Linked DNA regions of Elephas maximus indicus. The protein of the gene in region 3 interacts with the protein of the main gene of each other region in a pairwise test. Links are inferred from orthologs where the notes say so. Each region holds a gene or a part of one and is shown on either strand. Other genes may lie near its edges.

Region 1 (7,226 bases), on a different chromosome or scaffold from region 3:
GAGTGCGGCCCATGGTACAGTTGGGGAGAATTTCTGAATCCCAGGGGCAGGCGGAGTGGACTCCCTCTGGCCCAGAAGAGTCAGGAGCTGGAGGCTTCAGCTACTGCTGGCAGGTTCTTTTGCAGCTGCAGAGAAAGTGGAATCTAGAAATAAAGGGAAGATTTGAGGGTTCAGACTCCTCCTCCTTTTGTGCCTTTGCATGCAGACATACTGAACCACAGACCAAGAAAGGGATGGACATAGCACAGGCCCAGGGCTTGGTATCTAAACCACCTAGTCCTTTCCTAAGGAGCTTATTTTGGAAAGTTTCCGACCTCCCCTTCCCCCAACCCACTCTCCAAAAGAACAAAACCAACCCCCTGGCAGTCAAATCAATTCTGACTCATAGCGACACTCTAGGACAAAGCAGAACTGCCCCATAATGTTTCCAAGCCTGTAATCTTTATGAAAGCAGACTGCCACATCTTTCTCCCACAGAGCAGCTGGCGGGTTGGAACCACCCACCTTTCAGTTAGCAGCTGAGTGCTTTTAACCACTGCACCACCAGGGCTTCTCCCGCCCCACACCAGTGCATTAAATTTAAAGTTTCTAACCATTTCCCTGGAGTGTTGGTGGTGCAGTGGTTAAAAGCACTCAGCTGTTAAGCAAAAGGTCAACAGTTCTAACCCACCAGCGGCTGTGTGGGAGAAAGCTGTGGCAGTCTGCTTCCATAAAGATTACAGCTTTGGAAACCTTATGGGGCAGTTTTACCCTGTCCTACGGGGTCCTTATGAGTCAGAATCAACTCACCTGCAACGGGTTTGATTTTGGATTCAGTTTCCAAGGAGCCCTGCTAACAGAAAGGCTGGTGATTTGAACCCACCCAGCCGCTCCAAAGGAGAAAAGACCTGGTGATGGCTCCTGTCGAAAAATCACAGCCTAGGAAGCCCAATGGGGCAGTTCTACTCTCTCACATGGGAGGGTCACTATCAGTCCAAATTGAACGGAGGGCACCTAACAACAATCAGTCCCCTACCACCTTGCCCTTCCAGATGTCCCAGGACAGTAGCGCCCTCACATATACTCACACTGATCTAGGCAGGCAGTTTCTTTTTTCTCCTCTTTCTTGCCTCAAGGTGCAGGTGCACTGCCTCCTGAAAACCTGCAGGCAAGGGGGTCAGGAGGGGGATGCTGAGAGCTCTAGGGACAGATGGCCCTCACATCAGTAGGGACACACTTCCCTCTCATGAATCCCAGGCCCTCCCCCTGTGTTGCTTAACTTTTCCCACTTTCAGTTACTCTCCACTCAGAGGCACTGCTTTGAAACTCATTCTCTCCCTCTCCCTCCTCCTTCCATCCTCTCCTCTGACCCTCCCCTCCCTCCCCCCCCAGCTACTTCCTCAGAAGATGACGCCACACCCCCCTCCTTGTAACAAAGTGGATGGTGGTGGGGTGACAGTGTCTGGAAGCCTGAGAGGTGTGAAATGCATAAAGGTCTGGGAACTCTGCTCTTGGCTTCGCACCTCCACTATCTCAGGGGTACCAGGACAATCCCTGTCACCATTATACCAACTTCCACTGCTCCGGAGCAATTTCCTTCTTCCCTCCCTCGGTTTCCGCCTCCACGAAACCTAAGGAATAAACAACTCTGGAACTGAGCGTTTGGTGCGTGGATCAACAACAAAGACAGCGTGTGCCTGCTATTCGGAACAATGTCCTCCCCACCTCCACCTCAGGACTCTCCTGAATCCGTCCCCTTCAGCCACTGCCTTCCCTGGCTTAGAGCTGCAGAGTCCTTTCCTTTCCAAACTCCGAAATAGTGTGCAGAGAGGAGGGAAGGGGGAGGTGGAGGAGACCCACGGCCCCCCTCGAGTTTGCGGTCTCCACCATCCTCCACCCCAGGAGCTCGAAGCAGTGCTACCACCTCGCTCTCACCTACTTGGTTCTGGACAATTTTCTTCTTCTTCGGTAGGCTTCGGCAGGCTTCGGCGTCACCCTGCAGATTGGTCTTCAGGCGCAAGAGTCACAGACACCGACAGGCGACAAGGCAGAGACGGAGGACTCCGCGGACAGAACAGCACTCGAGAGGGTCCCAATACCTGCTTTTCTGAATTCAGGGTCCTGGTTGTCAAAGGGATTCCACCGTTTGTCTCTCACCCTACCCCCACTTCTTAGGACTCGGCTGACACCAGCACTCTCCTTCCCGAGGTCCCCGGCCCCGACCCCCTCCGCTCCATCCCCACCCCCCAGCGGTCAGCCATTTTCCCAGCCAAAACCACGCCTCTTTCCAGCCGCGGAAAGGGAGGGGGCGGGGCGAGAGAGTGTGGAAAACCAGCGGAGCGCGAAACGATCTGTCCAGTCCCCTCCCCAACCCATCCCCGCCCCTAATAATAGCCGTTTTTCCTGTGAGCGCTGCCACATCTTTTGCCTGTATAAAACGGAAAGAAGATTGCTGGAGAGTCAGGAACGGGCCCAAGATAAGGCAAGGACCTCAGCCATCCTCGCCCTTCTGGGGACCTGCAAGGATTTGGGGCAGATTCTTTATTCCCTTGTTCCTACTGGTACAGCGCCCTACTGAAAGAAGACAAGGTGGAATGACAGACGGTCAGGCAGACGCACAGCCCCCAAATTCTGGTTTGGTGCATGGGCCGGCACACAGGACACTAATCCTTAATACCTGCCCTTTCCGATTCAACATCTAGGATGCCAAAAGTTTCCCCTCTCCTGGTCTGGAGCCTCCCCCGGAATACGGCCCCCGAAATCCACTATTTTTATTTTTGAAATGGCTAGGTATAGTTCAAGGGAGCAGAGAAAGTAGGCTGTGTCCCCCTTCGGTATCCACCCTCCACTACCGCACCGCAGGGGTCCCGAGGCAGCTCCCATTCACACACAGACCTGCTGAGATGGGGCAGATACCTCCTCCTCCTTCCCCAGGAACACAGGCTCGCGAACCCTCAAGGCTATAGGGGGTTGGCAACCGAACCAAATGTAGCCCAGGATTAGAAGGACGTCTGCACTCCTTGGCTCTGCTCACGTGAGGGCCACGTCACCAGTGAGCTCAGGACCTCGATTTCCACTCCCACCAGCAGTGCGGCAGGAGCCAGCCCGCGCCCCCTTCCCTTCCCCACGACATCGGGTCCTGTCATTCATTTTCCTCTTTGCCAATCCCACAGACCAGAAGTAGCCCCTTCTCCTTGGAGTTAGATTTTCCTTTCTTTGGTTGACAGAAAGAGGCTGCATTTGCTCCAAGGCCATTGACCTTTTCTGCCCCTTTGAGGAATAATGTTTTTCTCTTCTCTGCTCCATGTCAAGCCGCCTATCCCTTCGCATCCCCTTCCCTCAGCCATGAAGGCCCAACATTGCCCCTGCACCCCTGTAGGAAATGGAGGGGTGGAGGGGACAGGGTTTCAGAAGAGGAGATAGGGAGTGGAAATCAGTGTCTTACTTTATTCTGAAAACTTTATATTCATTTTTTAAATCAATATGCATTGCTTTTGTATTGAGAAAACAAAATAATGCTACTTTCACTTGTGTGGAGAAAGATTTAACTTGAAGGAGGAAAAAACAAAAGGCCTCATTAATTTCATTACATTTATTTGTAACACCAGGAAAATGGTTCTATTGATTACAGCTGAATAGCAGCATTCAAAACATAGGTATCTGATTTAAAATTGAAAGCTGGAATTTCTTCCACCACCACCCCAAAATCAGCAAGATTTTGGCATGATCTACTAATTGTCCACGAAGAGATGCCAGTTGTCTAATCTTGGCCACTTTATGTAAATAATCCTTTACTTTTTCTGGATCACCTTGCGGGGAAACCTTGGTGGCATAGCGGTTAAGTGCTGCGGCTGCTAACCAAGAGTTCAGCAGTTTCAATCTGCCAGGCACTCCTTGCAAACTCTATGGGGCAGTCCTACTCTGTTCTATAGGGTCGCTATGAGTCGGAATCGACTCGACGGCAGTGGGTTTGGTTTTTGGTTTGGATCACCTTGCAATTTGATAAAATAAGTCATTAAAATAAAAGCAACACAGTCCTGTCTTGTTTTAGTACAGAAAATCATGTATTTAACCTCCCAAAGACTTGGCTGACTGCTCTGTGAACCTCCTGTGATTTGATGGCTGTTCTGAACACCTGCTCCTGGATTAGTTTCCACTCTATTGAGTCCAAGGCAGCTGAGGGTCTGAGGACTGCAGAGATGGTCTGATCCTCCCAATCCCCCCTGCCCTGTAAAGAAGTGGGGAATGTGCTGCTTCCCCCACCTCTCCCATATTCTGAAGCATCACATCCCCTGCTTCAGACACCTGACTGTTGCTCACTCCAAAAATATACATGGACATGTGACCAAGCTGGTGACCTGAGTAGCTGCCTTTGGCTCTTTCCTTCCCTCCTCCCGTTCTCCACCAAATCCACCAAGAAGAAACTCAGCCTTTGAGAACTGCTATTCCCACCTACCCTTGAAGCTGGTGGTTTTCAAGAAGCCTGAAGAAGTGATTGCTGAGAGGAGAGCACCCAGGCCTGCCTGCTCTCTGCCTGTAGTCACTGCTGACACCCACCTTGCCTGAGAAGTGCACCCTGTTGGGCCACTTATCTCTGGTCTCCTTAACTCCAGGGCATCCAGGAAGAACTTAGCCTTGATGCAGGATCACTGTTTTCCAGTCCACACCCACCTTGGTGCCCCCTCAGGCAAATTTATGACTGAGCCTAAGGCATTCTCCCCATGATCATACTGATAAAGCTAGCGTAGGTGTGTTCACCTGACCAAGTCCGTGGACTACCTGAAATTGTATGCAAAGTTGTGTTCATTTTAGTGGGGAGAGGGGTCATAGCTCTCATAAGATTCTCATAGGCAACTATGACTTAAAAAAAATAGTTAAGAACTACTCACCTAGAAAAAAAACATACCCCCCAAAAGGAATATCTAATCTGTCTTTGGCTCTGTCTCTCTTTCTCTCTCATGAAAGTAACACATGCTCCTTATTTTTTTAATATGAAAACAATGCCGAAGTGTATGAAGTAGAGTGCAAAGCCTGTTCCACCACCAACCACCTTCAACAATTTCCACCTTTTTTCATGCAAATACAAAAAATATATGTATTCATGTATGTCAAGTTCCAAGTTGAACAACAGTATACTTAAGGAAGACTATTGGTATTTATTTACAATACAGCTACACTTTAATTTGAGAATAACTGACCTCTTTAAAAATTGAGTATTTCTATCCAGGTCAGCTTTTATGGTCTTCGATAAACTTTATAAGCGTCTTCAGGTAGGTCATACTCATTACTTGTTCAGTTTATTCCATGGTTAATGTTACCGTTAAGGTTACTTTAGTGCTTTTGTGAATGGCATGTTGCCTGTCTAAGGAAAAGTAATTAATTATGATATATTTGTCTTTAGTGAAATTTCTTATTATTTTTAATAGTTGTTCAGTTGATATCTTTGGCTTTTCTAGGTATGCATACATAACCATCTGTAGGTGATGATTTTTCATTTCTTCCTTTCCAGTATTCGTACATCTTTTTCTTTCCTTTTCTGGATGGATTATATTGACCAGAACTTCCAGAAGATGGCGGGCACCCTGATCTTGTTCTTTTAGTTAATGGGAATGCCCTTAATATTGCACTGTTTAGTGTAGTGAACGCAGTTTGTTTCTGATGTATTCTTCTTCTATGTATCTGTGATTGAGAGGGAAAGGATGTATAAAAGTTGCACTTTCATAATCCTATATTTAAGACTGAAGAAAATACAATCGTCCATATCATAATATTGGGAGGTGGGGAGAGCTGCCACAAGTGCTGTGCTTATTGGGAATATAGCTGAGCAAAAGCAGGCACTGACCTTGGTCTCATAGGGGACACAAGGCCTTATTGAATTAAATACACATAGGCACAGAGAAAAACACTGCGAAGGAAAGGAGAACTGTTAATGTAGTAAAAGAAGTGGTACAGTCTGGCTGTAGAGAAAGCCTCCTTGTGGGGGACAGGGAGGGATGTACAACTTGAGCTGACATGAAGGAAAGCGGGTATTGACTAGGAAAAGAAGGAAGCAGAAAATAAAAATGTCTCAGATTCTCCACCCGTCTGATAAACATTGTGATAGCCTATCTACCCCATCCTAGGATAAACCCTGTGACAATCACTCCTAACTTTTTAGTTGGCCCTGATTGCACAGTAGCTAAGCTCTAAGTGCTCAGCTGCTAACCAAAAGGTCAGCAGTTCAAACCCACCAGCTGCTCCACGGGAGAAAAATGTCACAGTCGGCTTCTGTAAAGACTAGAGCCTTGGAAACCGTATTGAGCATTTCTACTCTGTCCTATAGCATCGCTATGAGTCAGAATCAACTTGACAGCAATGGGTAGGGTCACATAGATTTAAAAAAAAGTTTATATGTAATCGAAGCATTATTTGCAACAAGAAAGAGGTAGGAACAACCCAAGTGACCATCAATAGAAGAATGGATAACAAATGTGGTACACGATGGAATATTATTCAGTCATAAAGAGAAATGAAGTTCTGATACATACTATAAAGTGGTTGAACCTTGAAAGCGTTATTGTTGTTGTTAGGTGCTGTCGAGTCAGTTCCAACTCATAGCAACCCAGCATACAACAGAACAAAACACTGCCCGGTCCTGCACCGTCCTCACAATTGTTAAGTTTGAGCCCATTGTTGCAGCCACTGTGTCAATCCAACTCACTGGGGGTCTTCTTCTTTTCCCCTGACCCTCAGCTTTACCAAGCACAATGTCCTTCTCCAGGGACTGGTCCCTCCTGATAACATGTCCAAAGTACATGAGACAAAGTTTTGCCATCCTCGCTTCTAAGGAGCATTCTGTCTGTAGTTCTTCCAAGATAGATTTGTTCATTCTTCTGGCAGTCCATGGTATGTATATTCAGTATTCTTCCCAAACACTATAATTCAAAGGCGTCAATATTTCTTTAGTCTTCCTCATTCATTGCCCAGCTTTCGCGTGTATATGAGGTGATTGAAAATACCATGGTTTGGATCAGGCATACCTTAGCTCTCAAGGTGACATCTTTTTGTTTCTCAACACCTTAAAGAGGCCTTTTGCAGCAGATTTGCCCAATGCAATACATCATTTGGTTTCTTGGCTTCTGCTTCCACGGGCGTTGATTGCAGATCCAAGTAAAATTAAATCCTTCACAATATCAATATTTTCTCTGCTTATCATGATGTTGCTACTTGGTCCAGTTGTGAGGATTTTTGTTTTCTTTATGTTGAGG
Region 2 (7,734 bases), on a different chromosome or scaffold from region 3:
GTTAGCTATATGCTGTGGGTGTTCTCAAGTAGTTAAAGAACCATTTTTATCAAAGTATTACGTGCACATAGTTTAAAAATTCAAGTGGTACTAAGATGCTCATGAAGCAACAGTGACCCCCTGGCCAACCCTGTCCCAAGGCCCTTCGACCCATGCCAAGCTGCACTTTTTTAAAGTGCCACCTATGAGGATCGAGAGCAGCAGGCTCGAAGACTGACCCCTAGCCTCCTAACACCAGTGTCCCCAGGCAGCCATCATGGGATCTGGGCCCCAAATAAGGGGCCTGTGTTCTCCCTTGTCCACACTGGTCCCACTGGAGTGTCCTCAGAACGGCTGGCTGAGGTCCAGGGAGTGACCTGCAGCTGGCCCAAAACATCAGCCTCAGCAGCAGCAGCCCACCCTTCCCCCGAACCCCATGGACAAGGGCTCCATTATTCTCTTCCCTCAGGCCTCTCAGCCCACGGGAACAGCCAGTACCCTCTGCCCAGGGTGTGAGGCTAGAGAAAGACTGGAGATCTGAGACACGTGTCTTTACAGAAACTGCTCAGACAGGCTTCCCATGAAGGGCCCACAGCCCTAACCAGCTGGCAGCCCTGACTTCCTCAGTCTAGTATGCAGCTGAAAGCTCCTCCAAGGGGCTGAGCCAACTCCCCCACCATCTCCGCTTATCTCCTCTGCAGCGACCCAGAACCCCCCCCCGCTAAGGACGAGGGAACCTGGATCTAGCACAGGCTCTTACCTGGAACCCCACTGGGGGGTGAACTTGGCTGGGGCGGGGGGCTCTGCCCAGACCCCACAGGACTGCCATCCAAGGGAGGCTGAGCCGCATCCATGCTGGGCAGTGCCTCTGTCTCGGCCTCAGTTATGGTCCCTCTGCCCTGGGAGTGCTGGGGGCCAGCCCCAGCAGGGTTGGGCCCCTGACTGGGGGTGAGGTGCGGGGCTGTCTCCTTGTCCCACTCCCACTTGACCGCCAGCGTGCTGTCCAGCACAAGGGCCCCACAGCCGGAGTCTGTGTCCATGACGTAGTCGTGGCCCTGGCCGCAGCCCCACACAGCTTGGATGACGCCGCAGTACTCAGAAGAAAGCATCCTTTGCAGGCTGGGCAGGGCCCCGCAGCCAGCTGCGTGCCCGTGCACCCACCCAACCAGGGCCTGCAGGCACCGGGGGCTCCATGTGACCAGGTCCGCTGAAGAGAGTCGACAGAGTCAGCCCTGGCCAGCACCTGCCACCCCGGCTGCCCGTGTACCCGGACACTCACCCGGACACGTGCCCTCCTCTGCAGCAGTCTGGGACTGAGTCCCGGCCCTGCAAAGGATTGTGTGGCCATGAGCAGGAGGAGCACACCTAGCAGCTCAAAGCTCTGTCCTACTTTCATGGCTGTCCCCAAGGTCTTGAATGTCCTGCTGTCCTTCAGATACTATCCACTCTCCCTGAACCACCCTGCCCTCCCCGTCTCATAGCCCTGCTTGAACCTCACTCCCCACGCTTGTATAGTGGTGCTCACACCATATGCCCTCCGCAGAGGTTCCCAGCCAGGCCTGCTCCCACACCTGCCCCCAGAACAGCACCTGAGGTGCCTGGAGGACACTGCCTGGCCAGTGAGTGCCTACTTTGGACAAGGCTTCCGGCGGCCAGTTGGGGAGACGTTGACCCTCTGCAGGAAGGAACCGAGGAGGCTGTGGCACTGGTAGAACTGGGCATGGCAGTTCTTGCAGACGAAGGATGACAGGGCTGGATCCTGGAGAACGGGCACCCCCAGAAGGCGCTGGAAATCCCTGATGAAAATGCGCTCCCCAGGGGGCGTTCTCCCCACACTTTCCCCAGACCCCCTGCTGGAGATGCTGCGGAGACTCCTTGAGGAGAACTTCCCGTGGCAAAGGCGGCAGTGCCCCATGGCGAGCGCCCGGCCTGGTCCTGGGCAAAGCAGCGGGGGACATGAATGGTCAGCGGGAGGCCAGCTCCTGAACTCAGCTGCTCTGCTCAGCTTGGGCATCTGGGAAAAAGCGCCCTAAGCCAAAGACCACTAACCTAAGCGGAGGAAAGTGCTGGGCTCCCAGCTCAACATTTAGGCCGAGACAAAGCTTTTTAGAGGAACTTCCAGTCCAAAAAAAAACTTTCAAAATATCCTAAATATCTCCACAGCTCCGACTACGGCCCGTCTCGCCTAGGCCCCCCTCACACAAGCGCCCCTCAACCCGGCCCCCCAGCCCCGTCGACCTTCACCCCGTCGCCTCGCACACCATGCCCCCTCACCCTGGCCCACTTCCCCCGCCCGGGGAACTCGAAGTGATAGTGCTGGCACCTGGGCTCCCCTTCCGCCCAGAAGGGTGACGCAGAGCCCACCCGGCCCACCGAGCAGTAACTCCCTGGTCCTCGCGACCCCTCGGTCGGCTTGAGGAGAAGGGCTGAGGCTCAGAGAGGGTGAGTGGCCACCTCAAGGTCACAGCGCGGCGAGCCCGGCGTCCCCCGGCCAGTCCACCCCGCCCCGAGCGCTGGTCCTGACGTGCCGGGCCGCCCCCCCATCCCGGACCGCTCGGCCGCCTCTTCGCCCCTCCTCCAGGAGAGACCCGGCCCGCGCCCCCGGCCCCCGGCCCAAGTCAGGCCCACATACCTGCCTCCTCAGCGCCGTCCTCCGGCGCCGCCGCCGCCGTCCCATCCGGGCTCAGCCCACAGCTGCGGGCGGGGCGGCCCCGAGCCCGGCCGCCTCCACAGGCGCCACCGCCCGGGCCCCCGCGCTGTCGGGCCGCCCCGGACGACAGGAAGCGACCGAGCCGGTCCCGCTTCATGGCGGCGACCCCACCTAGACCCGGCCCGGCCCGCTGCGCGCACCGCGCACGGCGCGCGGCCTCGCCTCGGCCCGCTCGCTCAGTACCCCTCGGCTCCGCTCGGCCCCGCTCGGCCCGCCAGCACAGTCAGACTCGCCTCCGCTCGAGCCCGCTCGGCTCTGCTCGGCCCCACTCGGCTAAGTTCGGCTCAGCTTGGCTCCACTCGGCCCAGCTCGGCCTCACTCGGCTTGATGGCAGGGGGCGGGGACGTGGTGGGGCGGGATGGAGGGCGGGGCGTGGCGGGGGCAGGGCTAAAGGCAGGGGGCAGGGGGCGGCGGGGGCGGGGCCCGTGCGGGCCGCGGTCCAAATCTCTGAGGCTGTACCGCCCTGAAAGCGTCCCGGTGACGTCCACAGGCTCGCTTCCCGCTCCATCCGCGAGAGGAATAGTGCCCAGCGCTGACGCCTAGAGAGCGCCGGCCTCGGGCTAGGCAGTGGGCTGAGCCCTTGACGTACGGCGACTCATTTAAACCTCGTGGCAGGCCCGTGAGGGACAGCAGACCCGCTATACCTCTTTGTGGAAGGGAAACGAGGCGCTGACGGGCAGACGCTGGGCCCCAAGAGTTACGCACGGAGGTGGTAGGCCCTGCTCGGTCCGCCAGCACGGTGCCTTTCGGCATTGGAGGGCTTTTCAGAATACTTAGCCATGTTGCTTGAAGTTTCCTTTGATTTTTTCTTCTTTTTTGCAATTTTTTATTTAAGTACATACACATACAGAAAAGTACCAAAATCATAAAGCGCAACTAGCGGGACTGTTCGGAGTTAGAGGGGTCCTGGACGTGGAGCGAGGGCTCGGCGCTCAGGGCAGCTACGTGAAGACGTTGTCATCGCTAATCCGCTTTCCCAGATGGGGAGACCCGGCCTGCAAGCCGAGGCCCGTGGTCCAGAGTCCGCTCCTGGACCCTAGCAGGGCCTGGCCTCGGATTACCAGGCCATGGTTCCGCCACTCTCGCCTTGGCTCATTCTGCCGCGGGAGTCTTGCTCCTGCGGCGGAGCAGGACGACGGAAGTGCTTCCAGCAGGGACCGCCCCGTCCGGCGGTCCGTCGCTCCGGCGTTCCACTGCCCGCGCAGGCAGAGTTCCGGGCTCCCGACCGCCCGCCCCGCCCCTTGACCGCCACCACTGCCTCCCCCGCCCCGCACCATGGCCGCTGCGGCCGGGGATGGCGCGGTGAAGCCGCTGCAGAGCGCTATGAAGCTGGCTAACGGGGCCATCGAGCTGGACACTGGCAACCGACCCCGGGTGAGACAAGGGGAGGCGGGGTCCGGCGGAGGTTAGCCCCCCGGGCGGGGGCGGGAGGCGGTCGCGGCGACGGCCGGGAGGGACCCCAACCTGCTGCAAGCCGGGTGGGCGAGGGCAGAGCCGGCCAGGCGGCGAGGTTGCTCTCGGCCCTGCCCGAGCTTCGGCACTTGGGGGCGCCCACGCCCACCTTGGGGTAAGAAGGCTGGACCCGGCGGTGCTGAGGTCTTGCCCTGCTCTGCGACCTTGGACAGCTCACTGCCCTCTCCGGGCCTCAGTGTTCTCGCCTGTTCAATGAGTCGGGGAATCAGAGCTGAGATGATATTGTAGAGGGGATTCAGAAATGTCTGTGAACTAACCCCCAGAGTTTTTTGTGTGTGCATCCTTTCTTCCTTTTTTGTAGATTTAATCAGATTCCCAAAGGGGACCGAATCCAGAAAATATTAACTGTCAGCCCAATAGTGCTGCTTTGGCTGTTCAGGGCCTGTCTGGAAGGAAATGCAGGGGGTGGAAAGGGTGGCTTGTTCCTGAGATTGGGAGCTGACTCTCAAGGTGGGGACCAGGTAGAAAAACCGCCTGGGCCACACCAGACTGCCCAGGGTAGGGAAGAGGCTGTGCGTGCCTAAGAAAAACATCCTAGTTTCTGAATCTGCTGCTTCTCCCACATTTTTTCTGGGACACCAGGTGCCCCCACAAGTCAAAAACCCTGTCCACAATCTGCCCTGGTCTTACCTCTGAGTAGACTTAAGACGGGTGGCTTGATAACTGGGATGCCAAAAAAAGGACAAAAAACCATCATGCCATGGTTCTTAATGTCCTGAGCAGCAGAGAGTGTTCAGCACTAGTCCTCTGACTGCTGTGTGCTGAGGGGTACTCACCCTGAGGATCAGGAGAGGGATTTTCCAAAACCTAAGGCAGGAAGTAATTCTAAGATTTGCAATATCATACCTCTTTAACATCACAGGAAATACTTATTTAAAGCCACTGAATGAATGGCTCCTGAGTCATGACACAGGAAGAAAAATTATAGAGCGTAAAAAGTGAGAGCAACTGCTGAGGCTGCTCCCAGCCCTACTCTGCCAGAAAGAAGCGCAGTGAAAGGAGGACTGGTGTCCAGCTGGTCTCGGCACCCAGTGCCTACTGCAGATCTTGTAGGAAGATGTGCTTTGGCGTTGTTTGCAGGTGCTGACATCTTTTCCTTCAAGTCTTAGAGAGCCAGGATACTATCATTAGACTACTGCACAATTACCAGCCAACTACAGCAGACTAGATGTCTCTGGTGTATCTCATGATAAGCAGGCACTGCTGTTTCTGTGGGTCCAGGCACTGCATTTTCCTGGAGGGGCACCAGGCAAGTGCGATGGACTCATTCACCTCCGTAGCCCTGATCCCTGCCATTTCTTTTCCCTGGGCACAGGAGGCATATACAGAATATCTGAGGAGCATTCACTACATCTCCCAGGTTCTGTTGGAAGAAGCAGAAATGACCAAAGGTATGGCTCTGAACGTCGCAGGTCCTCCCCATGCTGGGCTAATCATGGGAACATAGCCCTCAGAGAGTCTCAGGCCTGGACATCTCCTGCCAGCATGATCATTAGCAGAAAGTGGACCAATAGCACTCAGCAAGCACCAGCTGCAATAGCATGATGCAGGGGCCAGAACGGACAGGTGCTGCAGGCAAGAGGATGGAGAGCTGGGGTGGGGTGTGATGGGAAAGGCCACAGAAGCACTCCTGAGGAGATGACATTGAACCCACTGATGGATGGAGTGACCCATGCCAGGGTCTGGAGAAGGCATTCCCAGCAGAGGGATGTGCAAAGACCCTGAGGTAGGAGTGGGTGGTGTGTTTGTGGAAGGCCAGTGGAGAGGGAGAAGGTGAAGTTAGGGTTGGGCAGGTTGTGCAGAGCTCTGGGTACCTTGGGTTGGCATTGGAGTCATTCTGATGTGAGGAAAAGACCATGAAACACTTTGAGCAGCAGGCAGGAAGCCAGATCTGTGTACAAACACAGGCGAGTGATAGGGTGCCGAGAAATGAGGTTTTTCTCTCAGCACGTCCTTATTTGTGAAATGACATAGCAGCTGCATGGCCTATCTCACACAGAGGGGTAGAGTACAGGAAAAGCCCTCAGTGAGGAATAAAGAAAGGCCTTGTTTAGGTAGAGAACTCCAAAGGTCCCCTTTCCAGTGAGGGAAAGAAAGTTAATCAGATGCTGGGCTGGCCAAGCCTGGAATCTGCCTCAAAATCAAGAGGTAAACCCAGCTTTCCCATACCTTGTTTTCACTTCAGCAAGAATCTGATTAGCAGTCCAGCTGAAGGTAACTGGCCTTTTTTTCTCCTGTTCCCCCAGAAGCCGGGGAAACAGTGCCCCTAGACACCTCGAAGATGCTGAAGTTGGCTGAACAGTGTTTGGAGAGGGCCCAATCAACTGCTGCCAAGCTGGGTGGGTCTCCAACAGAGGGAGGTTTCCTGAGTACACCCAAGTCTGTGTCTTTTTATGGAATGTGGGGCCATCCTACTGACCCGTGGCCATGTATGGCTTACAGGGAAACCATGCCTGAAGCCAGCCAAGCCTATGACTGCTGCAGTACCCTCACCAACCAGTCGACACCGCCGGGTGTACTCAGATGAAGGGGGCAAGCTCTCTCCTTTTCTACCTCCTGAAATCTTCCAGAAGCTTCAGATGGTGGAGTCACAAAACTCTAAAAAGTAAGATGGGCAAAATGGGGTGTGAGTTGAGCCTGGGGATTGGGATTAGAGGCTGGGCAATATGAGTTGGCCACGGAAATTTAGTCAAAATAGGTCCCAGAATGGGAATTCCCTTGTACCTGAGAGAAGCAAAGGCAAAACCTACTTGGAGGAAAGCATTTTGCTTTTTCATAAAGTTGAATAACACACTGTCAAAAATAACCAAACACATGAGGAAACAAGAAACTATTAGGGAATGACAGCAGAAACAGACCTGCAAAGTCTCCAAATATTGGCGTCATCAGACACAGATTATAAAACAGTTATGTTCTTTATATCTAGAGAAACCAAGAAATTATAAAATCTTGAGCAAGAAAACATAAAATCTGACTGAGGAAATAAAGAATTAAGTAGGACTTCTAGAAATGAAAAATGCAACTGAAGTTACTATTTAAAACTAACTAATATATATATATATATATATGTTTTCTAGTAGAAATAAGCCAAAAAAACAAAAAATGGAGTGGACAAGTTTATAACAGGAGAGTAGACATAGCTGAAGAGAGAATTAGTGGATTGGAAGAAAAGTCAAAGACACCCAGAATGCTTCATAAAAAAAAAATAAAAGAGCGATGGAAGGTCTAACATAAGTTTACTGACATTCTAGAAGGTGGAGAGAAAGAAAATGGCAGAGGGTCATTATGTTGAAGACAATGGTGGACAATTTTCTAGAATTGATGAAAGACATCAAGACACAGATGCAAGAAGCCCAGTGAATCCCAAGTAGGACAAACAAGGAGGACCTGCTCCTCTTGGCCCTGCTCTGGCCAGCCCTCCAGGCTCTTCAGGAGGTTCCTCCCAACCCCTCAGTCACCTCATCTCTGCATGTATTGCTGTGGGCACAATACTTCCATCCCAGGAAACACTTTCCCTCCTCAGTCTTGTTTCCCTTGGACCTACCCTCTACCGCCCTGAGTAGAGGAAGACA
Region 3 (7,442 bases):
GTCCGATGGCAGACTGCTAGTTCAAGTCCCAAGAACCAGAGGTCAGATAATGACAAGCCAGATGCAGGATACAGAGCAAGACCAAGCTTTGCCAGAGTGTCCATATATATTGGATGTAGGTCACAATCTCAAGGAAACTCCTCTTACGTCAGATAAGGGTGTGATTTGACTAGGGCAGTGATTTGAGGTACAGTGACTTACTAAAGGCTGTGACTCAAGGTACACTCCACACTAATCCTGCCTCATTAAAATATAGAGGTTTAGGATTTATAACACATAAAGCTGAGGATAGTTACATGATACCACAAAATGGAAGACAATTGCATCAGATCATAAAATGGAGGACAATTACATGATACTGGGACCCATAACCTAGCCAAGCTGACACACAGCACTGACCATCACAGTCACCATGAGTCAGTGCCCACTCAATGGCAGCTAAGAACAACCATCCACTAAACAATGGTGTGCTCAGCCTTCTTCACTTCTCACTTTATATTCTCTGTATCCACATTCATAGTTTTAATTCTTATTTACATGAGAGTGATGTCAAAGTTTTACTGCAAGCAATTTTATCTATTAAGGTCCAGTCCCTATATCCAGCTGCTTTCTTGACCCTTTGAACTACTCAGGGTTTTTGGTCGCACGAAGACTAGCCCTGGCTGATTTAAGTAGAATGAATGTTCACAGGATTGCAGATATAGCCTATGCTAGGCAGTCAGAAACAACAGCTAAAGTCACACCACAAAACTGGCCTGGTGAGGACACCCGAACTGCTCTCAGGCATGACAGCTTGTGTCACTGATAGTGCTGGCACTGGAAAGTGAACGCTATCACTAGCAGCACGGCCACTATGGCGCCTGGAGATACTACTTTGCTGGAACTGTCACCACTGCCAGAGGATTCTTTGAGGTTTCTGCTTCTCGGTGTCGTAACTCCATCTGCAAAATCCTTGGTGAGTGCATCTGATTATCAAAGCACAGACCATTAGTAATTTCCTAGCTGCAAGGGATTCTGAGAAAGCAAGTCTCTGGTATTTCTAGATGCTATTGCAGAAAGCAAATTCTACCTCGCACCAATTACTCATAAGGTAAGGAATCCCCGGACGTATAAACGAGGTTCCAATGGTATATATACAAAAATAATGAAGATGCCAAGATGTTCAATCTGCATCTCTAATTGGACAGCTCAAAGATACCTCAATCTCAACATATCCAGGCTGAATTTATAATTTTTGTGGCCCTCTTAGCCCCCTTCCCCCCAAAAATCTGGTCCTCTTCTAATCTTTTCTCTCCATGAGTAAGACCACAATCCATCCAGTTTCACAAGCTAATGGGCTTGGAGTTGTCTTTGACACTTCCTTCTCCCTCACTCCCCGTAACCAACCTATTACTACCTCTAATATTTATCTCTCTTGGTCTCTCCACTTCTATCCATCTCCTCTGCCTTCACTTTACTTCAAGGCTCCATCATCTTTCAGCTGGACTACTGCAATTCACTCTCCATTAGTTATCCAGTGCTGCTATAACAGAAATACCACAAGTGGATGGCTTTAACAAACAGAAATGTATTTTCTCACAGTTTAGGAGGCTAGAAGTCCGAATTCAGGATGCCAGCTCTGGAGGAAGGTCCTTGTCACTTCCTGGATGATCTTCATGTGAGTTGGCATCTCTCTTCCCCCATCTCTGCTTCTTTCACTTGCTTGTTTAATCTCTTTTATATCTCAAAAGACATTGATTTATGACACACCCTACACTAATCCCGTCTCATAACATAAAGATAACCATTTCCAAATGGGATTATAACCACAGGCATAGATTTTAGGATTCTGGAGGAACACTTAACACTTCCCTTCTAATATATTCTCTAACAATAAGGCCAGGGTCATCTTTTCAAAATGCTTATCTCATCATGTTACACAGCCCACAGAGCATAAAATACATCAACGGCTTCCAAACTTAACATGGCCTACAAGGTCCTGGCTGGTCTGGCCCTTGCTTACCTCTCCTGCCTCATCTCTCCTCACTGTCCCTCATTCTGCATGCACTCCAGCCTCTTCAGTCTTTCATACTATGCTCCCTCCTCACGAGAACCTCTGTACATTTTGATCCTTTTATTTGGAATACTTCCTACCACTCTCACCTTCGCCTACTAATTGCTACTTCAGATTTTCAGTCAAGATCATTTCCTCAAGGAAGCCCTCCCTAAGCCTCCTTCCCCCGTAAGACAGATAACGACATCATCTATATGCTGACAGCACTACAGACCTCACCTTCATGATTTATTAAATTTTTTAAATTATATTTATTTGATTACTGTCTGTCTCCCCCACTAGACTGCCAAGTCCCATGAAGGCAGAGAGACCAGGTCTATTTTTTGTTAAACACTGCATTCCAAGAATAAACCACAGAACCTTATCCATAAAATCAAAATACCAAACCCGTTGCCATCGAGTAAGTTCTGACTCATCGTGACCCTACAGGACAGAGTAGAACTGCCTCATAGAGTTTCCAAGGAGCACCTGGTGGATTCAAACTGCTGAACTTTTGGTTAGCAGCCGCACCACTTGGCCACAATGCCACCAGGGTTTCCAACCTTATCCATAAAAAACCAAACCCATTGATGTCGAGTCAATTAGGACAGAGTAGAACTGCCCTAGAGAGTTTCCAAGGAGCGCTTGGTAGATTCCAACTGCTGACCTTTTGGTTAGCAGCCATAGCACTTAACCACTATACCACCAGGGCTCCCCCCACCTTATCCATTAAAAAAAAAAAATCCATACCAAACCAAAAAAACCAAACCCAGTGCTGTCGAGTCGACTCCGACTCATAACAACCCTACGGGACAGAGTAGAACTGCCCCATAGAGTTTCCAAGGAGCGCCTGGCAGATTTGAACTGCCAACCCTTTGGTTAGCAGCCATAGCACTTAACCACTATGCCACCAGGGTTTCCACCTTACCCATAAAAAAAAAAAAAACATAAAAAAGTAGGTGTTAAATAGCAAAACCAGTTGCTTTCAAGTGAATTCTGACCCATGGCAGCCCCATGTGTTTCAGAGCAGAACTACACTCCCTAGGGTTCTCGAGGGCCAGGTGCTTTCAGAATTAGATCACCAGGTCTTTTTTCCAAGGCACCTGTAGGTAGATTCGAATTGCCAATCTTTCTGTTAGCACCTGAGTGTTTGTCTGTGCCACCCAGATACTCCTAGGTGCTGAATTATACCTCTTAAAATTGGAATGAATGATTTCCCTCGAGACTTGGGACTGAAGAGTGGGGGGTGGGGGGAGTAGAGTTTAAGAGAATAAGCGCTCCTGAATTGGTTAATGGTGCAGCACCAGCAGAGAGAAGCACCAACTCTTGAAGCTGAGAGGGTGAAGGTGAAGAAAAAAATCTGTCTTGGACCTCGTTGGACCTTCCAGTTTCAGTTTTTTAGGAGGACTGGCTGCACAGCTACTCACGCTCACTTCTCCCTTATTAATTAAATCATAAACTCCTATTTCTCCTTTCTGGCAACCATGTCTGTAGAACTATTTTGCATGTTTTAATTAACTTAGGCTAAAATGAAAACTTCCTGCTGTAACAATGTCTAGGCCTCTCTGGAAGAATTCTCAACGAGGGTGCTAGCAGAGTACACTCAACACTCCTGATACCTGATGGTTTTCAAATATGTTTTCATGTTTGATAAACAGATTCTACCTGTTCAGAAGATGAGGAGACACAACTAAATGGCAACACACCTCTGGAGTAATACAGAAGTGATTATTAAGAGATACTTGAATATTTTTTATCCTTCCCACAGAAGGTATGATCCTCAAAATCACAGCAAATTATTGTTGAAAGCAAAGTAATAAACTTCATTCAATATGACTCATTATGGCATAGGAGAGGAATCCACTCAAAAGCTAAATATGAGTTTTGAAAATTTGAGTCTTTTTTTCAGTTTTACTATATGATACTGTACTTTTCAGTACCTGGCCCCAGGACAAGGAACTAGAAAACTAGTATGCAGAATTAACGCTTCTCTAGTAACAGTGAAAATTCAGTGATTTACTATTTTAGCAAATGTATATACTGATGTTTGTACTAAATATTAGAAACATAAATGTCAGAAAGCTTGTTGTAACAATGAATTTTTATATTTTAAAACACAAAACATGCTATCTGTACTGATTTTATACTTCCTCTGAACTAAGAATTATGTTCTTATTTCAGCTTCTCTGGATTTTTCCTCTTCAAATAAAATGCTTGTCACCTATAGAGGTTTAGAAAAGGTTACCCCTGACTAAAATAATTGCTTCAATAAAGAGAAAAATTCTGTGGAAATCTCTTACATTTGACGTTGCTAAACTTAAGTACAATAATGTCACATGTACTTATACAGTAATTGTGGGCACGCCTAAGTCCCTCCCTCTTCCCTAAACCAAATTCCCCAGATCCTAGAAATCCAGCCTTTCTGCCCTCCGGAGGCGCCTTTCTCAACGTAAAGTACAATTTAAAATTTAAGCTCCTGACTAAATAATGATTCCGCAGTCAACTGCTAGAGAATCTGGGCACCCAGTGCTTCTGGAGGGTGCATCGGGGTGTAGGCAAGGGCAGGGGGAGTGGGCGAAGCTGCTGGTTGGTGCCTGAAATCTGTGCGTTGCCCCTTTAATTGTGTCCCCAGCCCTCGGGCGTTTCTGTCCAACGCCCACGTCAGCAAATACCTTTTGTTTCTCTCACGTTGGGGCTACTTGTTTTAGGGCGCAAAGGAACGGCTTCGTAAAGGGGTTATTTCCCCCGCCGAGAACCTGGAATCTTCTCCCAACCCGCGCGCACGACCCGTAAGGGTAAGTGGCTGCGCGCGGCACGGGCGGAGGGCGGGCGGGGCGTCGGGGCTGCCCGGGACGGGCCCGCGAGCCTCTCTGCTGGCTGAGGCGCCTCCGGCTCCGCGGGCTCCGACTGCCCGGGCGGCAGCGGCGCCGGGATGCGGGCCCGGGGCGCGCCGCCCCCAGACGTTCTCGGGCCGGCGGCGGGCGGCGCAGAGGCCAGCGGGCGCCATTTGCAGCCCCGGGCGCAGCGGCGGCGGCGGCGGCGCGGCGGCTCCGAGGGGCTGGAGGTGGCCACAAAGGAGGCGCGGAGAGCTGGGGCGGCGGGCACGGCCTCGGGGCGGCGGCCGGGCGGCCCGCGGGACAGGCGGGCGGCGCCGGGGCGCACCGGCTCCCGCGCCCGCCCCGCCCGCGTCTCCCCGCCCGCGGGACCGGCCCCTCCTGCGCGCCCGGGAGGGACTGCGGGACAATGGCCGCGCCGTCGCCGCCCGCCCGCGCTTGGCGGTCCCCGATGAGCGCGGCGCCCGCCTCGCCGCCCAGCCCGGCCGCGGCGCGGGGAAAGGCGGGAAGGCGCGCAGAGCCTCCTGGCGGCTGCGGCGGGAAGCCGGCGCCGGGCCGGTGCCGGGCGTGTCTGGAGCCGTCGGGCGTCGCGGACTCCGGGAGGGTCGGCGGCCGGCCGGACACGGGCTGCGCGGCTGAATGACGGGCGGCCCGCCCAATGGGGCGGTGCGGCAGGCGGGGCAGGGACCCGGGGCTTCTCCCCGCGCGGTCCCGGGCGCTTTATTGGGAGGGTGGCTCCCCGTGCGGTAGCTCGAGTTTCTCAACACGTTCTCCAGCGTTTGGTTTTGTATCCTGATGCAACAGATCTGGGCATAGAACCGAAGGCAGGCGTACTACACCTAACAAATGGTGAGCAACAAGATTCGTTTTATGACGGAGCCAGGCGTCCACATCTGCCTGTGCCGACTGCCCGTTCCGTAAATGAGCCGTTTGGCCCCTTTATCCCACCAGTGCGTTTACTGACGGTTGATTGTACGAATAGCCAGACTCGCCGTCTTTCCAAGACCTGTGTGGAAGTGTTGGAATCGCACTTACCGGGCTTTTAACTAACTTCCTCAGTAATACCTCTATTTTTAATAAACCTTTATATTTGCAGAACTTTTATTTCGTAAATGGAGTGCTTTCATTTGTAGGTATTTCACATAAAAGAACCACCCAGTCAAAGTGATGGCTATTTCATTTTCAGATGAGGAAACACTGTTTGACCCTCTAGGCCAGGGGTGAACGAGAAAGAGGGGGACCTTCCAATGTGCCTAGTCTCCTGGTCCTCCTCCACACCCCCTCCTAATGGCAGCACCTCCAGAAGAATATTCCAGAGGAGCAAGCTAGTCACATAGCTCCCTGGCTCAAAAAGCCTTAACAGATCTTTATCAGAATAGAGCCCAAACTCCTCAGCAGAGGATTCAAGCCCTAAGTCTCCACGTCCTTTTTTATCCCCCCGCCCTGAGCAAGAGCCCTTCACTCATAACCAGGGACCAGACCCCATTAGTCCTGGGAACTTTGCTGGCCACACAAGTGGTAAATGAGAAGTGAGAGTCGGTGGCCTGGGACCCTTCACCCAATGGGCGTGTGTGGAAGTCAGCGTTAACACATCAGCTGGAGGCCACGTGAGGGGGCGGCTCCTTCCAGGGGTATGGCCATTTAAATTTCTGATCCCACGAAAAAGGCCACCAGGCCAGACCTTACCTCATAGCCCTGAAATCAACGGCGTTGCTGGTGATTAATGATTTGGGCCAAGCAGAATCATTGTAACATAGGGTAATACTTGATTCCTCCTATATCATTTAAATCTGATTTTCTAGATAAAGTAGAATTTCCGTCTAATGAGATTAACCCCTTCAGTGATATACGTTTGTAATGTTTGAAGGGTTTGATGTAAGCTTTTTCATGTCCTTGAGGGAAGTTTTTGTCACTTCTCTGTCAAAGTCCATCAGTGGCTCACCATCTCATGCAGATTAAAAGCCAGAGTTTCCCCAACTCCAGCTGTCTGCAAGGCCCTGTAGAAATTCATTCCACCTACCTATGTCCTCCTAGAATCTGGCTTAACTTTCTGACTGTGTCTTCCATTCCTCTTCCTATGACTCCTTGATGTTCCTCCAAGCCTCCTAGCCGGCCTCGCCTCACCACCTTAGCACTTGCTCTTCCATCTGCCTGGAACACTCTTTCCCCAGATATCCATGTGACACTCTCACTTCCTTTAGGACTTTACTCAAATGTTATCTTCCCAGTGAGGCCTTCTCAACTATGGTTTTGATTCTCTTAAACATTGTTACACTTAATTCTAAATCTTTCCAGGTTTAAAAGACGTTTACCCACTAAGGAAACCCTGGTGGTGCAGTGGTTGAGTGCTACGGCTGCCAACCAAGAGGTCGGCAATTCAAATCCACCAGGCACTCCTTGGAAACTCTATGGGGCAGTTCTACTCTGTCCTATAGGGTCACTGTGAGTCGGAATCAACTCTACGGCAGTGGGTTTGGTTTTGGTTTGGTTACCCACTAAAGAACACAATTGGCATTCCAGTTGACTGAAGTTCCTTATGACCCAGGAATTTTTCACCCGAGAGGCTAACTAGATTC
Region 4 (7,158 bases), about 42 Mb from region 3:
TGCAAGAAGCCTTATCTGGTCGGAACCACCACCCAGTCTTCTGGGGACAGCTTTTAGCTCCCTGAATGCCCATCAGTGCAGCAAGGCTCTGGGATGCCCTCCAAAGCCTCCCTGGGGAGGCAGCAGCCCCACCTCACCGTGAGCAGATACTCCACAGCACGGTGGGGGTTGTTGTAGCTGGCTCTCAGGGCAGCCACAACCCGCTCCCGCTCATAACCCATGGACATGATCTCTGTCAGCATCGTTTCATACTCAGAGCCAGTCACTGTGTAGGAAGAAGGCCTGGGTCACCAGGGAGAGGAAAGGGCAGCACCCAGGCCCTCCCACACCCAGGGACCACCCACCCACCTAGCGTGGAGGCCGCATCTTCCTCTCGCCCGCTGCTACCTGAAGAGGGAACAGAGCTGCAAATTCAAGAGAGAGAAATCGGACCCTGGCTTTTGCCAGCTTGCCCTCCTTCCAGGTGCATGGGACCACGTATGTGGGTACTGGAATGTACTGGGAGAACAGAACCCAAGCTGGAACTGCCCCTCTGCCTTACCCTGACACAGACTCCGGGGACATCGTGGGGACTGATTCCTCTGATGGGCTCTTGTCCTCTTTGGCCGTAGGTGGGGGATGAGACATGCCTGAGGCAGGGGCTGGCAGGAAGGATGTGGAGGACTCAGGGGCAGCAGTGGGTGAAGTCTCTGGGGGTGCCGAGGTGCCTGGGCCAGCTTTGGCCTGTGGTAGCCAGGAAAAGGGAACGGTGTTAGCACCCCTATCAAGCTCCAATATCCCGCCTTATTGCAGCCCCACCCTGCTCGTGGCTAATCTGTCCTGGGCACATGTGCTCTTAGCCAGCTCCACAGCAAATCCACACACCCTCCCAGCAAGCACGCTTCACCAACCTTGGTCACCATGACAACCACAAAGTTCTTCTCATCTATGCGATAGTCCCTGATGGGGACATCGTCACTCAGGATCTTGCCGGCATAAATAAGCTTCTGTCCAGCCACGGGAAAAGCATCCCGACCCTTCTCAGCTTCTATCTTCTCCTTTAGGACCTTCACCTGAACGAAAGAATACAGAGCCATTGCAAACCCCCCAGGAGTCCCTCTTCTTGTCCAGTCTGGGGGGAGTGGCTACAAGCCCTGAAAGGCAGAAAGGCTAAACCTCATAGCCACGCGTACCAGATGTGAATCTGTTGAACCATCCCACCGTTCAACAGATCGTTTACTGAGTGCCTTCTATGTGCCAGGTGCTGTTTCTGGCACTGAAGTCACAGAAAATAAAACTCAACACATGGCCCTGCTCTCATGGAAACGACACTGGTGTGCGGAGAACAAAAGGAATATTTTTTTAAATAACATAAAGTGTGCTGAAAAATAATAAAAAGAAGCGTCCCCCATTCTATGCTGACAACCTTGGGCATTAAGACTACACAATATTTACTTAAAACATCTTATGTCACTAATACTATCCTACATGTATAGGTTATCATACACATGTAAGTTCTCATCTTATATTTGCCAAAATAGACAGGAAAGTTAAGCAACTTGCCCAAAATCAAACAAATAAGCTGGTCAAAAAACATAAGTCTATTTTCTTTTCTACAAAAAGTGGGTTTTAATGTCTCTCTTAGGGGGTAGCTGTGCAAAAAGTGGCAAGTACACCGGTTAACACACTTATTACGTTTAAGTCCTAAGCTCCTTCCAGCCAAAAACAGCGTAGTGTTCAGACCGTAAGCTCTCACACTAGGCAGAATAGAATTAGAATTCTAGCTCTGCCACTTATTAGCTATATATGACTGTAGTAAAACGAAGAATATCAGTTTCCAAACAACAAGCTGTTTTACACATTTAGTAAGACAATAGCACCAAAAAGCTCAATCAACTAGTAAAGAATAAATGGACCACTAAAACCAATACGATTCGACCGTTTATTATCATCTTCATCGCTGTCATCACTCCGCATCTCCCGATCACCAATCCTGGATTCAGCTGCCAACGTTCCGAGAAGCTGCCTGCAAAGCCGGGAACGCGGGAGCCCCCGCCCTGGAGAGCGCGACCCGGCCGGGAATCCGAGCCTACGGCTTCCTGCGCCCCGCGAGAGAGCACTGACATTGGAGCCGGGGCCTGGCGGGCGCCCCGGGGGTGGGGCCTCGCCCCAAGACTCGCCAGGGAGCGGCCGAGCCGCTGGGGGCTGGGTCGGGGACCATGGAGGAGATCCGAGGAGGTCCGGCAGGTGGGGAGACGACAGGACCTGACCCGCACCCACCTCTGCGCCCCTCTCACCGGGATCCCGGCCTCCCCGCCCCCACCCTACCCCCGGCACCCGTCGTAGCTCCTGCCCGCGGGGCTCAGCCCGGCCCGCACCGTCTCATCAGGTTCCATGCGGATCTTGAAGGTCTGCTGCTGCAGCGTTTTGAGCGTGATGGTGACGGCCATGGCAGGGCCGAGCGACGGATCCTGGCCCTGGGATCCTCACACAACATGCAACTCACGCCGCCGCCATCTTAGCGCCCAGCAGCGCCGCGCGCAGACCGCTTCCGGGGCAGATGGTGCGCGCGCCGGCCACCGTGCACGTGACCGGCGCGTGGCTCTTAGGTTCGTGGGCTGGGACCTGCGCGTCCTCTGACCAGGCATGCGCAGATTAACACCACTCCTGGGGAGCGGGGAGACTCCTTGCACAGCGCGCCCACCCGTCACGTGGCTTCCTGGGAGTGACGCCATGCCGGTTAGCGGTGACGTCATGTGGTCACAAAATGGCTCCGGTTTCCCCTGCTTCCACGCGGAAGTGACTTAAAAAATTATTTTTGGTGACGTTGAATAAAAGTTATGTACTTACATTTCTTCTGTTAAATGTTCATGTTTTTGCCCATTCAAATGAGCTTTGTATTATTCCAGCTGTGGAGCCTTGAATGTGGAAACTACTCAAGATGGGAAAGGATACCTGGAAAGTCACCAACAATTTAGAAAAACTCATTTGGGCGTGGAAACAGAAGGAGCACTGGAACGATTTTGTGGTTTCACTTATTCGCTCCTGAAGAGGATGATTTTTGGGGCCTCCCACCGCTGCTGCTATTTGTCCAGCCACTTTGGTCACAGAATCCTGGGTCTGACTCCAAAAACACTTAATGAAGACGTTAACTTAAAAGGCTTCCTTCCAATAAATAGCCACAGCGCACACAAAGGAATGGAAGCATGAAGGAGCAAGTGGAGGGAACAAGGGGAGTTAGGTTTGCCATCACAAAGCCCGTGTTTTGAGACTGGATGGCTTGGAGGAGCAGGCTTGATTCCCAGTTAGGGTATCGAAACTGGAAGCCTGGAGGCCAGAGGAGGCTGTGGCAACAAACCTGACCTTTCCCCAACTGACCATCATTAGCTGCCTCCAAACCTGCTGCTCTCACAGTTCCCATCCAACTCACCCAGGCTGGGCACTGGACAGTCCTCACCAACTGCCCAACAACTGTAACCAAGTCATGCTGCCTCTCTCCACTCCATGCCCTGAGCCTATGCAAACCTCCACCAGCACCAGCCAGGAGCAGCTTACAGCTTCTTACCCTCTCCTGAAACAGGGTCCATCAACTCCCCCATCCTCCTCACTGGGCTTTCACCATCTTGCCATAGGCAGCTTCCTGGATCTCCACCTCTGCTCTCTCTGCACTACCTCAAGCCCTCTTTCCCCTCAACGGGTTCAGACCCCATCATGGCTATGGCTACAGAAGACCACAGGAACTTGGGGTTGTGCTTGAACCTATTTCCTCGATTATAAAAGTAAATAGCTTTTAACTCCAGCTGGTATTAAAAAAAAGTTTAAAAGCACTAACAGCCATGTAATCATTAGGTAATAGGGACAGAAAAAAGCTCAATGACGAGATAAACCATGAGACAGTGTTCAGGTGTGGATTGAAATCCCTGCCCCACCACTAAGTTCTGTGCCTCAGTCTCCTCACAATCAAAGCAAATAGGTAACAGAACTAAAAGAGTTAATACGTGGAATATTTTTTAACAGTTATCCTCCGATTTGGGCTCACTAGACAAGCAAGGGCCTTTGTAACCTTGTGGGATGACACTCAGCCAACTCTTCAGCAGCTGAAAAATGAAAATTCAGAGAACCCATTACTTAGGAGCCAACCCCCCCCCCCCGAAAAAAAGGCCATCTTTGGTTCCCAGATGTCCATCCTCCCCCGAAAAAGGAAACACAGAAGGAAGACACAAAACTTAATTTAATAGAAATTTTGCATGTAGTTCTTACATTCTCAGTATGAGCTGAGCTGGAACCTGCTGCCCCACCCAGAAGTGGCCCAGTCCTGGGAGTAGGGAGAAAGTGGGGGCAGAGCTTGGGCCCTAAGAGCCCCATTCTTTCTCAGTGCTGGGGGCGCTGGGATGCCACCCCTTTCTCCTGATGCCCCCCGGACTCCAGGAAGGAGAGCAGATGGAATCTCAGGCCTGGGCTTCTCCACACCCACTCCCTGACCCCCAGGCTGGAAAGGAACTAAGGGATTCAGGCAGAGAACAGAGGAAGGAAAAGATGTGAAGAAAGATGAGACCCAGGGGTGGGGGCTGAGGGAGAATCAAAGACAAAACACCAGTAAAAAAAAAAAAAAAAGGAGGCGGGGACAAAACCAAAACCCACCCCAAATCTGAAACCGCCTGGAAAAAGTGAAAGTTCTCCAGTCTCATAGAGACATTATTTGGCGTGGCCGGCTCTGTGGCAGGAGCGCTCAGGCCTCAGTCCAGCCCCAGAGGCAGGTGGCATGGCCTCTACAGCTCATCCTTGGCCTGGCCCACATCTTCCTCCTCATCCTCCTCTTTGTCCTCTTCATCCTCATCATCTTCATCTTTGTCCTCCTCTTCTTCTTTGTCCTCTGCCGCCTCCTCTTCCTTGCGCTTCTTGTCCTCTTCCTCTTCCTTTAGCCTCTGCTCTTCGTCCTGCTTGTCCTTCATGAGCTTTTCTGCAGCCTGTGGGCCCAGACCATACACCTCAGAGCCTGTCCCCTACCTGCCAGCCCTGTCCACCCCCAAACCCAGGCCTGGGGCCGGCCCCACCTTTGTGACACCCCACGTCTCGTTGCCAAACTCCTCAGCATAGGCCTCGTCGTTGGTGATGAGGAAATTGTCAAAGATGGTGCCAGACTTGACCTGGGGGTGAGTGGAGAGAGAAGTGATTAGAGATGACACTTGGTGGCCCTAGCCTTGGACGAGGCTCACATCTGTGTTCCTATATTCATTTTATGCTACCTCGGTCTCTACATTTCTTTATAAACACATGTACAGAAGAATAGCATTGCTAATATTACAGTTAAAAATAGACAGGGACTGCAGTCCACCCACCTGACTTTAAAATCCCAGCTCTGCTACTTCTCATTTCTTCACTCACTTATAGTTATCAAGTACCTACTGCGTGCCAAGTACTCTTCTAGGCGGAATATACACCGGTGAACAAGGAAACAGACACACAAAAATTCAGAACTACAAATGCAAACTTCTAATGGGGTGATCTAACCGCCTTATGGGCTGGGAGAATTGAGTTGATTCAAATAAAGGTATTTGAGAAAACTACCTGGCACACAGCAAGTGCTCCCTAAAAACAGGCCAGGAAATACTTCAAGAACAGAAAAAGGATCATTTTGGAGTCAGACCTACCTGCATTTGAATCCTACCTCCTCTGTTCCTTGTCTTCTGGGTTAAGATTCTGTCACTCCTCCCCCCCAGGATCCTCCTTCCTCCTCCCGCTGTGCCTCACCTGCCAGAGATCTAGGCCCAGCACAGCAAAGCTGTCATAGGAGTAGATGTTAGCATCAGGGGAGTACTCGGGGTTGTCGATCTCTGGGTGGATCCACTTGCCCTTGTAATCTGGGTTGTCAATCTGCCGGGGTTTCCACTCACCCTGTGGAGGATAAAACCTGATGGTGGGCAAAGTTCTGTGCCCTCTCCACCATACACCCCAGCCCTACTCAGAGCCCCAAGCCCACCTTGTACTCAGGGTTCTGAATCACGGGTGGTTCCCACTCTCCATCCATCTCCTCATCCCAGTCCTCGGGCTTCTTGGCATCGGGATCAGGGATGTGCTCAGGCTTGTCCCAGTCCTGGGCGTACACAAGGAGGTCAGAGTCAGCTTGGCTTTCTGTCCTCCACACCCTCTACTGTGGACAGCCCTGGCCTAAGCACCAACCTCAGGCTTGGAGTCTGTGGGGTCGTCGATCTTGGCCCGCTCATCCCAGTCTTCAGGCTTGGCAGCACTGGGATCCTTTATCTTCTTGGGTGGCAGGAAGTCCCAATCATCTTCCAAGGAGCCTGACTCTACCTGACTGTTGTCGATCTTCACCTCATAGGTGTTATCGGGCCTCACGATCAGAGTATACAGGTGTGTGAATTCATCATCCTGGAGAGGGCGGGAAGTGAGTGGTCCCGCCCACCCGGCTGGCCTTGGATCCTCCCTGGAAGCCCTCTGCCACCACCCCCAGGCAAACCTTGCAACGGATGTCCTTGTTGATCAGCACGTTCTTGCCCTTGTAGTTGAAGATGACATGAACCTTCTTGGTGCCTGGGCCACAGATGTCAGGGCCTAAGTGGGAAACAGGTTCAGTTAGAGCCAAAGGCTGCCCACACCAGGAGCTCCCACCCCTCTTTGCAAAAGACTTCATTCTCAAAATCCGTATGTTAGTATAGACCATCTTTTAAGTCTAATAGACTGTGTGTAGAACCTTAAATTAAAAAGTTATCACTGCAGAACTTAGTATCCTCATTTATAAAATGAGGCAACAGCTACTAACGATAACACAGACACTTATAAATCACCAGCATAAACTCAGCTAACTGTATCTATTCTCCTAGCTTTCCTGCTATGGAAATGAGTGTCAGTAAGTTCTTTCTGTAGTCTCAGGACCACCTTTCACGGTTGAAGAGCCCAAAGGAAGGGTACAGAAGTCACCACTGGGCAGGGCCCCTCACCAAACATGATGTTGTATTCAGAGTCCCCATGCATGTCCGCCTGGTCTAAACCATCAGGAAACAGCTTCACATAGCCGCCCCCACAGTCGATGTTCTGCTCATGCTTCACAGTAAACTGCACTACCAGCGTCTTGTCTTTGTTGCTGAAAGGCTCGAATCTTGCCGACAGGGCGTAGAAGCGGGCGTCCTGGCTTGTCTGCAGCCCTGGCATAAAACGGTG

Evidence for each region.
Region 1: the proteins of ZBTB8A (region 3) and ARMCX1 interact in binary tests that used the Homo sapiens proteins (3 or more experiments, as listed by UniProt). The two-hybrid records come from large-scale screens. The link is inferred for Elephas maximus indicus from reciprocal best matches to the Homo sapiens genes ZBTB8A and ARMCX1.
Region 2: the proteins of ZBTB8A (region 3) and ZNF276 interact in binary tests that used the Homo sapiens proteins (3 or more experiments, as listed by UniProt). The two-hybrid records come from large-scale screens. The link is inferred for Elephas maximus indicus from reciprocal best matches to the Homo sapiens genes ZBTB8A and ZNF276.
Region 4: the proteins of ZBTB8A (region 3) and RAD23A interact in binary tests that used the Homo sapiens proteins (3 or more experiments, as listed by UniProt). The two-hybrid records come from large-scale screens. The link is inferred for Elephas maximus indicus from reciprocal best matches to the Homo sapiens genes ZBTB8A and RAD23A.

Annotation. Positions count from the first base shown.
Region 1 is NC_064846.1:56,625,166-56,632,391, forward strand, and holds the start of ARMCX1 (armadillo repeat-containing X-linked protein 1), read right to left. Parts: upstream 3,004-7,226; 5' UTR 1,919-3,003; exon of another isoform or gene 1,915-1,918; intron 1,611-1,914; exon of another isoform or gene 1,503-1,610; intron 1,142-1,502; 5' UTR 1,068-1,141; intron 144-1,067; 5' UTR 14-143; coding exon 1-13. UniProt on the Homo sapiens protein: Regulates mitochondrial transport during axon regeneration. Increases the proportion of motile mitochondria by recruiting stationary mitochondria into the motile pool. Enhances mitochondria movement and neurite growth in both adult axons and embryonic neurons.
Region 2 is NC_064839.1:54,863,619-54,871,352, reverse strand, and holds the start of ZNF276 (zinc finger protein 276), read right to left. Parts: upstream 3,001-7,734; 5' UTR 2,787-3,000; coding exon 2,612-2,786; intron 2,009-2,611; coding exon of another isoform or gene 1,915-2,008; coding exon 1,611-1,914; intron 1,306-1,610; coding exon 1,259-1,305; intron 1,187-1,258; coding exon 740-1,186; intron 1-739. Other genes in the region: VPS9D1 (VPS9 domain-containing protein 1), read left to right, coding at 3,965-4,063, 5,478-5,553, 6,409-6,501, 6,605-6,767. UniProt on the Homo sapiens protein: May be involved in transcriptional regulation.
Region 3 is NC_064821.1:73,378,772-73,386,213, forward strand, and holds the start of ZBTB8A (zinc finger and BTB domain-containing protein 8A), read left to right. Parts: upstream 1-4,433; 5' UTR 4,434-4,481; intron 4,482-4,487; exon of another isoform or gene 4,488-4,740; 5' UTR 4,741-4,827; intron 4,828-7,442. UniProt on the Homo sapiens protein: May be involved in transcriptional regulation.
Region 4 is NC_064821.1:31,605,295-31,612,452, reverse strand, and holds the start of RAD23A (UV excision repair protein RAD23 homolog A), read right to left. Parts: upstream 3,019-7,158; 5' UTR 2,430-3,018; coding exon 2,358-2,429; intron 1,053-2,357; coding exon 891-1,052; intron 724-890; coding exon 542-723; intron 405-541; coding exon 349-404; intron 266-348; coding exon 138-265; intron 1-137. Other genes in the region: CALR (calreticulin), read right to left, coding at 4,749-4,946, 5,034-5,126, 5,731-5,874, 5,960-6,073, 6,160-6,369, 6,458-6,552, 6,939-7,142. UniProt on the Homo sapiens protein: Multiubiquitin chain receptor involved in modulation of proteasomal degradation. Binds to 'Lys-48'-linked polyubiquitin chains in a length-dependent manner and with a lower affinity to 'Lys-63'-linked polyubiquitin chains.